Cricetulus griseus: one gene and its partner. The protein of the gene in region 1 interacts with the protein of each later gene in a pairwise test. Links are inferred from orthologs where the notes say so. Each region holds a gene or a part of one and is shown on either strand. Other genes may lie near its edges. The genes, in order: Tbl1xr1 and Arl2.

Evidence for each region.
Region 2: the proteins of Tbl1xr1 (region 1) and Arl2 interact in binary tests that used the Homo sapiens proteins (3 or more experiments, as listed by UniProt). The two-hybrid records come from large-scale screens. The link is inferred for Cricetulus griseus from reciprocal best matches to the Homo sapiens genes TBL1XR1 and ARL2.

Annotation. Positions count from the first base shown.
Region 1 is NW_023276806.1:126,368,556-126,372,824, reverse strand, and holds the start of Tbl1xr1 (F-box-like/WD repeat-containing protein TBL1XR1), read left to right. Parts: upstream 1-1,243; 5' UTR 1,244-1,521; intron 1,522-1,865; exon of another isoform or gene 1,866-2,002; intron 2,003-4,269. UniProt on the Homo sapiens protein: F-box-like protein involved in the recruitment of the ubiquitin/19S proteasome complex to nuclear receptor-regulated transcription units. Plays an essential role in transcription activation mediated by nuclear receptors.
Region 2 is NC_048596.1:53,197,851-53,202,307, reverse strand, and holds the start of Arl2 (ADP-ribosylation factor-like protein 2), read right to left. Parts: upstream 2,897-4,457; 5' UTR 2,759-2,896; coding exon 2,694-2,758; intron 258-2,693; coding exon 147-257; intron 1-146. UniProt on the Homo sapiens protein: Small GTP-binding protein which cycles between an inactive GDP-bound and an active GTP-bound form, and the rate of cycling is regulated by guanine nucleotide exchange factors (GEF) and GTPase-activating proteins (GAP).

The DNA of each region.
Region 1 (4,269 bases):
AAGGTTGCAAAATGTTATTTTTAAAGATACAGTAACTGCAAAGCAGAGTTTCAAGTTATATGTTAGAATTCAAAGGAAGGCTGTTTCTTACACTCCAGGTTTCTGAAAAGCTCAGGAAGGTCAACGCAGTGCTTAAAAATGTTTTCCTTAAAAAACAAAACACAAGCTCTCAGCACTCCCCCAGTCACAATGTGACATTATTGAGGAGCCGAGGGGTACTTCTGAAACCGCCTTCACGTGCCACACGCATGCAGAAAAGTAGGAGATAAACTCCGGTGGAAGCCACACCCCGGTGCATACTTAGTGAACATTCATTCAGTTTATGACTTTATTTTTGCGCAATGTGAACTGATCGACCAAACCTTCCCAAGAGACCCAGAAGACAAGTGGCACAACTGGGCACACATACTTCAATTACAGCTTTGAAATAGCACCAAACCCCTTCTCTCCGTGTGCGCGCCTCCCCCACGCGCGGTGCTCGGGTCCCCCATCCTGCCACTCGCTCCCTGCAGATAAGCACCTTTCCAGGTACACTTCCGAGCAGGCGTGTTTACACGCAACGGAGTGAGCGACGCTTTGCCCGCGATGTCCCATCCGGAGCCCGCTCCGCGCTCCCTCACCGGCCCCCTGCCTCTGGGAATCAGGAGGCAGGGGACCCGAGTGCCACCCAGTCCGCGGGACAGCCCAGGCTGCCGGCTCTGGAACGAATGCGCTCCGGGAGCCCAACCCCCAGCGCCGCCTGGGAGCGAGGGAGGGTGGGTGGAGGGAAAGCAGAGCAAGTGAGGAAGCGGAGAGTGCAGCCGCGAGCCGGCCGCCACCCCCACCGCCTCGCTGCCTCCGTTGGGGCCCCGCCCCTCCGGCGCGTCCCTTCCCCCCAGCGCTCCTCCCCTCATCCTCCCTCCCTCCCTCCCTCTCGAGGTTCCCCTCCCCCTCCCAGGCTCAGGCTCCCTTCCCCCTCGCCTTTCCTCCTCCAGGCTCCCTTCCCCCTCCACGTTCTCTTTCCCCACCCCTCCTCCAGGCTCCCCTCCCCCCCTGCCTCCTCTCCCTCCCTTCCTCCTCCCAGGCTCCCCTCCTCCTCCGGGGTCCTCCTCACTTCCTCCCTCCCCCACCCCTCCCGGCGCCCTTCCCCTCCCCCTACACGGGTCGTCCTCCCCTCCCCTCCATCCCCCTCCTCGCTCCCTCCTCCCTCCCCGCGCGCCGGGCGCAGGCCGCTCGGGTTTGTTTTGCTGTGCGGGCCGCCGCCGCCGCCGCCGCCGCCGCCGCGGGCCCGGAGCTCATTTGTGCCTGGCTGGTCCCCGCGCTCCCCGGTGCCGAGCCGGAGCCGTTGGCCGCTCGCGCGCTTGGCTCTCTCCCTTAGTAACAGCTCCCCTCCTGCCTCGGTGCTGCGCCCTGCCCCGCGCCCCTCCCCCGCCGGACCCGCCGCCCGGCTGTCAGCGCCAGCACCCCAGGGCGCCTCAGGGTGCCCACGGCGGCCAGGAGGGGAGCGCCGCGCATCCGGGAGGGGACAGCGTCGCCAGGCAGGTGAGCGCGGGCCCGGGGCGGCGGGCGCTGCGAACTTGGCCTGGGCGCGGGGGAGGGGCGGCCGCGCTCACGTGCCGCCCCCCCTCCCGGGTCCGGGTGGCCGGGCTGCGGGAGGCACTCGCCTTGGCGAGCGGGCGTGGGGGCGCAGGCTGGATGCGGGGCCGCAGCCGCTCGAAGCTCGCTTAGCGGGGGAGCGGGCTGGGCTTGGGATGGGCGCCCGTCCGCGCTGGGGCGCGCGGGCTGCAGTCACCCGGTCGCGCTCCCTTCTGGGCCCCGCCGCGCGGAGCCTCCGGGCAGCGGCGGGGGCTGCGGGCGGCTGTTGGGGTGCGGCGGGGGGAGGGCGCGGGCGGGTCTCGCTCACTCGGGACGCGCGTGTGGTTACCTTGTCTCTGTGGCCCCTCCACAAGGAGGCCCTGGCCACAGTCTCGGTAAAGTTGGGTCAGAAGTGTATACAGTTGGCAAACTTATTGCCAGCTTCCTGGTAAGTTTCGGGGTGGCACACAAGTCACATTATCTTTCTGACAGTGTAGAGGCCAGGTTGTGAGTGTTTGCTGGGTAACTTCCTCTTTGCAACCGATGTCTTTTTCTTTTTTGGAACAGGGCAGACTTTCATTTAAGTGTAATATTCCATGTTGAAAGGCAGCTCGAGGCGAGCCATGCATGTTTCGGAGTGTTCAGTAATTTTGGAAGTTCTCAGTTTGGATTAAATTTAGGTTATGAAAATGTCTGTTCACGTGTAACATTTGGATTGGGTGGCTTTTAAGAAACTCACTCTTTGTTGGGTTACCGAATACTGAGAATAATTTGGTGATCACACAGAAGTGTTGGAACGTAGCTCAACATGACTTTTCCTCAGGCTGGAGATTTCTTAAAACCTTGAACTTCACAAGACCCAGGGTGAAGGGTTTTCCTACCTATGTCATTTACAGTAAATTAGGGAAGCTTACTGTTGGCCCTCTTGTTTCCCATATAGGAACCTTAGGCTGGTCTGAACATGTTAATAAAATATGATGGGTGAAATGCTGTGTTTTGGTTTGAATCTTGAGCCTGAATGCTCCCCCACCAATGTAAAGTAACGTCTTTTTCCTCCTGTCCCCAAATCACTTGGCTGTAGCATCTGATTTAACTTAGCTAAAATAACTTGCAATAAGTATCTCGATGGCCTGTTGAAGGTAGTGACTTTGGGGTTTCCCTGTGTGATTCATGTTCATTTTTGTTAAATAAGAGCCATGCTTATTAGAGTACTTCAGTAATCCCGACTTCCTGGGACTGTATGTTCTCACCACTTTAATAAGTTTATAGTCTGGTGAAGTAGGGCATCTTTGTCTCCACAGAAACATTGTTTATCAGTTGGATTGAAACGTGGGAGTTAATGGCAACCTTCCCAAATTATCATTGAGAGTTCTAGAAACAGTTGGCATTTACCTATGGGGGAGGGGTGGCAGGACGAAAACGTGCCTGGAAGGAGTTAGGCAGGCAGGCCCTGAGTGCAGCCAAGTCGAGGCTTCTCTGCCGCTTTAGTGTATTTCTGTCTTAGTTTTGCTGTTCTGCAAGGCATTAAGTCTGTAATCACAAACATTAAACACTCCAGTCACTTTCCCTCTCTTGTGTAGTTTAATGAATGGAGTCAGATCTCTAGTATTTAGGACCAACACTAACTTGTGGGGAAAGAAAACAGTGTCAAAAGTCAAACCAATTAACTACGTACAGACTTAAAAATTCTTGCACCTTCATCCTCTGTTTGAAGCACACTTCCAACCTGTACATGTTGTTAACATAGGAGATGGAGTAGTTTCTTAATTTGGATGTGTTTTGGGGGCGATATTGGCAATTGAGCCTAAAGCAAGTGCTCTGCCACTGAGCTACCGCCCAGCCATGAGATTGATTGTATTTTGTGTTGACTTGTTGAAGAACCGACAAACACTTTAACTTTTTACATATGCCCAAGTAAGTACCCCTTTGATACTTGCAGTCTACCTAGTTAAGAGTTTTGCAAGATTGATTATCATGATACCTGTATGCCAAGACAACAAGGAAGAAATTCGTCCTGTGAATTAGGAAGCTTTGAAACCGGTGAGCAGAGAGGGAGGGTAGCTCCTGCCATATAAACATGGACTTTCTGATAGAAAGGGTGTGCCAGGTAGACCTTTGGAGCTTCAACCTGTTGAGTAAATGTGCTAGCTCACTTGTGGTGAGTAAGTCTAACTACAGTGTGGTCAGAGGCTGTGTACAAATGAGTTTCCCCACAGACTTTGTCAATGGAATGTTACTGTGGAGATTGAGCACATTTAGATGAAGTTAGTTGCAACAATTTGTTAGGTTTGTTACCTATATAAAAACAGAGAGAAATGCATTGGAGCTCAGGGGAGAGGTGAAAGAAACCTTGGCACTGGTTAGAACTGTTTTTTTGGTACATGTAGATTTGACTCATTTTCAGAAATAACATTTAGAATGGACAGCCCTGAAGTGGGAAGAGGAAGGCAGTGAGCTTCGGACATTTACTATTTATCCTCAGACTTTCCCTGTGGCTGGCTGTGTAGTAAGGCCCATGGAACTGCCACCAACAGAAACTGTGGAGTGCTGATGCTCAGGAGCTTTTACTACCTAACTGCCTTTGGTGTCATAGACTGTAAGAGTACAAGTAATTGCCCTTTTACCAGAGAGCTAAAGGAAAAGGACTCTGAGCCACCTCCAGGAGTTGTGAGGTGCAGCCTGCCATTTAGACTGATCCCCTGTGGTCAGTCTGGA
Region 2 (4,457 bases), on another chromosome or scaffold:
GGCTGGTCCTGCCCACTGTGCCTTCCCCCCCCCCCCCCCAGTGGCCCTACTCACCCCCGGTGCTCACAGTGGCCCTCAGTGGTCCTACTCACCCCTGGCCCCCACACAGTGGCCCTCAGTGGCTCCCCCTCAGTGACACTACTCACCCCCGGTGCTCCAGGGTTTTGATGTTGAAGCCCAGTGTTGGGGAGATGGTGTCCACGTCTTCCCCATTGAACTTCTTGAGGATGGTGGTTTTGCCAGCATTGTCCAAGCCACTGGGACACAGAGCTAAGGAGAAGTCTCTGAGCTCTGCTGGAGGACATGTCATCATACTACCAAACTCTTAGGGACTACTGTATATTGAAACAAGTGGAGCACATGCCTGACCCATAAGTGGTTTGAGGTAATTATCATCTCGGCCAACTTAAAGTAACTTTGGTTAGCAACAAATATTAAGTGCCTATTATGTGCCAGGCCTCCTCAGGTGTTGGTGGACAAAGTCTTCACCCTTATGACACTTAAACACTAGCAAAAAAACAAAAAACAAAAAAACAAAAAACCTAAATAATGGGGCTGGAGAGGTGGCTCATCAGGTCTTGCAGAGGACTTGAGTTCAGTTCCCAACACCCACCCACATGGTGGTTCACAACCAAACCCTGACCGCTATGGGCACCGGGTGCTCAACATAGTACACATACATATATACAGGTAAAATACTTACACATATAAAGTGTAAGAAAAAAAATTAAAGACTAAATAAAGCAGACAAAGTTGGGTATCTGGGATCCCTGAAACCTGTGAGACATTCCTGAAAGGAATGGCTTTCAACTTAGGCATCAGATAAGGCTCGGTGGGGTCTTGAGACCCAATATAGATGCGCCCAGTCCTCTGAGGGACCAAGTAAGGCGCAAGTATCTAGAGGTGGCAACCACCTTCATCTGTTTCTAGAATGATCCACAGCCTCTGCTGCAGAGAACAAACCACTGGGTGAGCTCAACGGCACGTGGGAACTTGGGGTGACCACAGTCTGAATTGAGGGGTGGGAGGGAAGGGGCAAGCTCTGCATTTAGACCCTCTTCCTGCTCACCTGCAGGCCCAGTGACCCTTGAAAGGTCAGGGCACGCACTAGAAAACGCGCTAAGTCATCACCATGTCACCCGCCACGCATGAGGACTCTGGGCATGCCTGGAACCTCAGTGCCCACTCGCAGTCTTCCCTTTAAAAGCTCCAACTTTCCTGCTTCGCGCTGTCTCTCTGCTTTCTCTCTTTACGCCGCTCTCTCTTTGCTCACTCCTTCTCTGCTCTTCTCTTCTCCCACCTACGAGCTCTCTCTGCCTCTATGGCGACCGGCCATGGCGGTCAGCCATTACCCCTGTTCCTCTTCTCTTTTAGTCTGCCGGGCCATATAATAAACTAGTTAACATGTCTCATCTTGCAGCTTTCTCTTTTCCTCCTTTTAAATAAAACATAACAACCCTCTTTTGTGAGAGGGGGTGAGCAGATTACCTCTCATCAGCAGTCCAACTTTACTCTTGGAAAGCCGGCCACTGATTATCCCAACCCTTCCAACACCCACCTGCCCAAACAGAGTCAGGACCTGCTCCTCTCCAGTATTAGCAAGTGGCCAGAAACCAGGGATTCCGGCGTGGCTTCCCCTTCTCCCTCACATTTTCCTCCAGTGTAGCAGCAAGTCCTACCAGCACTACTACCCACTACTCCCTTCCTCCATCCTGCTCCAAGCCACCATCCTGTGGCCTAAATGGTCCCAGCCCATGAGGTCTCCTCCCTCTCTGTAGTCACTCTTCACTCTTTGACTTCCCTCGAACATGGTAGTCTTATCCTCCCCCAGGTCCTTTGCACTTGGAGGTCATCCCCAGACATCAATACCTTCCTCAAGTCTTTGCCCAGTACTTCTTATCTTGGCACGGTCTTTGACCACTCCGGACTACGTTCTTCTCAACCCAAACTACACATTTTATTTATTTGCTTTACAACTTCTTTCTCCTCTTCCATTATCCACAAGGAAGGCTTTTTCGTTTCCCTGTTTCACGGCATTCTCTAAATAAGTAGTAATCAATAAATAGTAATCTAATGACTGTCTTTCTCAAACTGTCTACAACTGGCACGGGTGGTAACGTTGGAAGTGCACATTAATTTACCTCTTCTCTCCCTGCCAGTTTGAGGATCACAGATGCTCAGGTGCCAGACACAACACAAGGCGGGCGATGCAGGTGCTACTTAATGCAATGGAAGGTCGGCCGGGGCCCTGAGTGACAGTTAACCTGGGACCAAGTCCACGCCTACCCTCAGGGGCCTAGGCGGTCCTCACGCCCCGGGATTCCAGCCCTGAAGGAATCGCCAGGGCCTACACGAAGGGGAGGGGGTCAGCGCTGGGGAGGAGCGGGGCCCACGTTCGAGCCAGCCCGAGACACCGTGACGTCCGGGTCACCACCACCGCGGCGCGCCTTCCTACGGCACTGGAGACCCGGGTCCAGGGCCGGCCTTCAGGACCACACCGCCGCCGTTAGCACGCAACCCCCCGCCCCGCAGAGTGGTACGGCCCGCCCCGGCCCCGCGCGGAGCAGTGGTAGCGCCGCGTGAGTGACGCACCACCGGCGGTGGGGACCCACGGCGGCCGCGCCCCCGCGCCCGGCTCCGCCCACCCGGCGGGTCCCGCTACCCTCGCGGCCGCTGGGGCGCTCTGAGGATACAGCATGAGCAGCCGCAGCTCTCGCTCTTTCTGCTTCATCTTCTTCAGAATGGTCAGAAGCCCCATGATCCCGTAGCCCCCTCCCGGCCGCCGTTTCTTCCAGTCCCGGGACCCCGCTCCAGGCTCCTATTGGCCAGTCTGGTGCTTGGTTCCGCCCTCGACACCACGTGATCACCGGGGTGCGTGGCGTCGCCCTCTAGCGAAGCGGCGGCGAATTTGCTGCCTGCTGCTTTAACCCTTCGCTTCTGAGGTTCGGAGGGGACCTGGGTAAAAATCAGCAAACCCTCCGACTCCAAGGCCTCCATCGGGGACGCGGGGCTGACATCTCGGGCTGTATCTCGTTTAGGTAGGGAGAACTCGCGAAGGGATTCTGAGCCAGGAGTCCGAACCTAGTTCCACAGGCGGCTGACAATCATCCGGGGGCCGTAAAATGGCCCGGTTCCCGCTCATTTTGTGACTTGCATTATCCACATCTGCCAGTGAGAACGGGTTGATTCTGGTCCGGGACTCTGTCGGAAATGGCTCTGTGCGTTTAGTCGAGGGTGACGATGCCCCCTAGGGGCCGTTTCGAAATGTACAGGCAGTAAGGGCTCCTTTGGGTTGTTTCAGTGACCACACAATAGTCATAGTCATTTAAAGCTCCAAGCTTCCCGCAATGCAGCGATCAGACCTGCACAAAGGATCGCCGGGAAGCTGTCAGGTTGAGAAGCTCGGGCGACCCGGGTAGTGGTGGCCTTTAATCCCAGCACTAGGGAGGAAGAGACAGGCCGATCTCTGAGTTCAAGGCCAATTTGGAGTACCTAAGAAGTTCCAGGTCAGCCAGTGCTAAGTAGAGAGAACCTGTCTTAACAAACATTGGAGCCCACTGCTGGCATGTAGTAGGTGTGTTCAGTTAGGTCGTTCAGTAAATGACTTTGCCCAAGACTTAGTTCTTTTTTGTTTTGTTTTGTTTCTTGAGACAGGGTTTTTCTGTGTATCCTTGGCTGTCCTGGAACCCGCTCTGTAAACCAGGCTGGCTTCGATCTCACAGAGATCCTCCTGCCTCTACCTCCTGAGTGTTGGGATTAAAGGCATGCGCCACCAACGCGTGGTTGGTGACACACTTTTAATCCCGGCACCTGGAAGTCAGAGGCAAGTAGATGAGGCCAGCTTAGTCTACATATCGACTAAGCCAGGGCGACATATAGTGAAACTGTTATGCCCAGATCGTGGAAACCCAAAAATCCATCACCGAGGAAGCGACACACCGATGTAAAAACACAGGTTTCTTTTTTACGATTTGCAACTCGGACCCTGCCCGTTTGGGAACAGGCTGAGTGCCGCTTTTTTTGCTGAGGGTGTTTTTTTAAAGGGAAGGTTCAAATGAATGAATGTCTTGAGATTGCAAAATTTTATGGTTACATAGGATGAAACAATAACTATGTTTAAGCAGGATGCAATTAAGCAGGATGCTGTAGAGGAAGTAAGTTTAAATTTGTTAATTATCTCCTAGGCAGGGACTTTTACAACTACAAATTGACAACTATCGGATCTTCTTTAGGACAGAGAAATGTTGACACAGTTGGAGGGTGTTATCTGTTCTCAGGCCTCTGTACCCAGTTCTTTGTTTAGCCTTATCTGTCGGGCTGCCTTTTTGGGAACTCAGAGAGAGGTAAGAGGTTTTCTATTTGGGCTTTGGAGTCCAAGTTTTAGGCTTTTATTAATTTTTTCTATTTTACTTCTTTCAAGACTGTCTCAAAAAACAATTATTATCGTGTGTAAATTG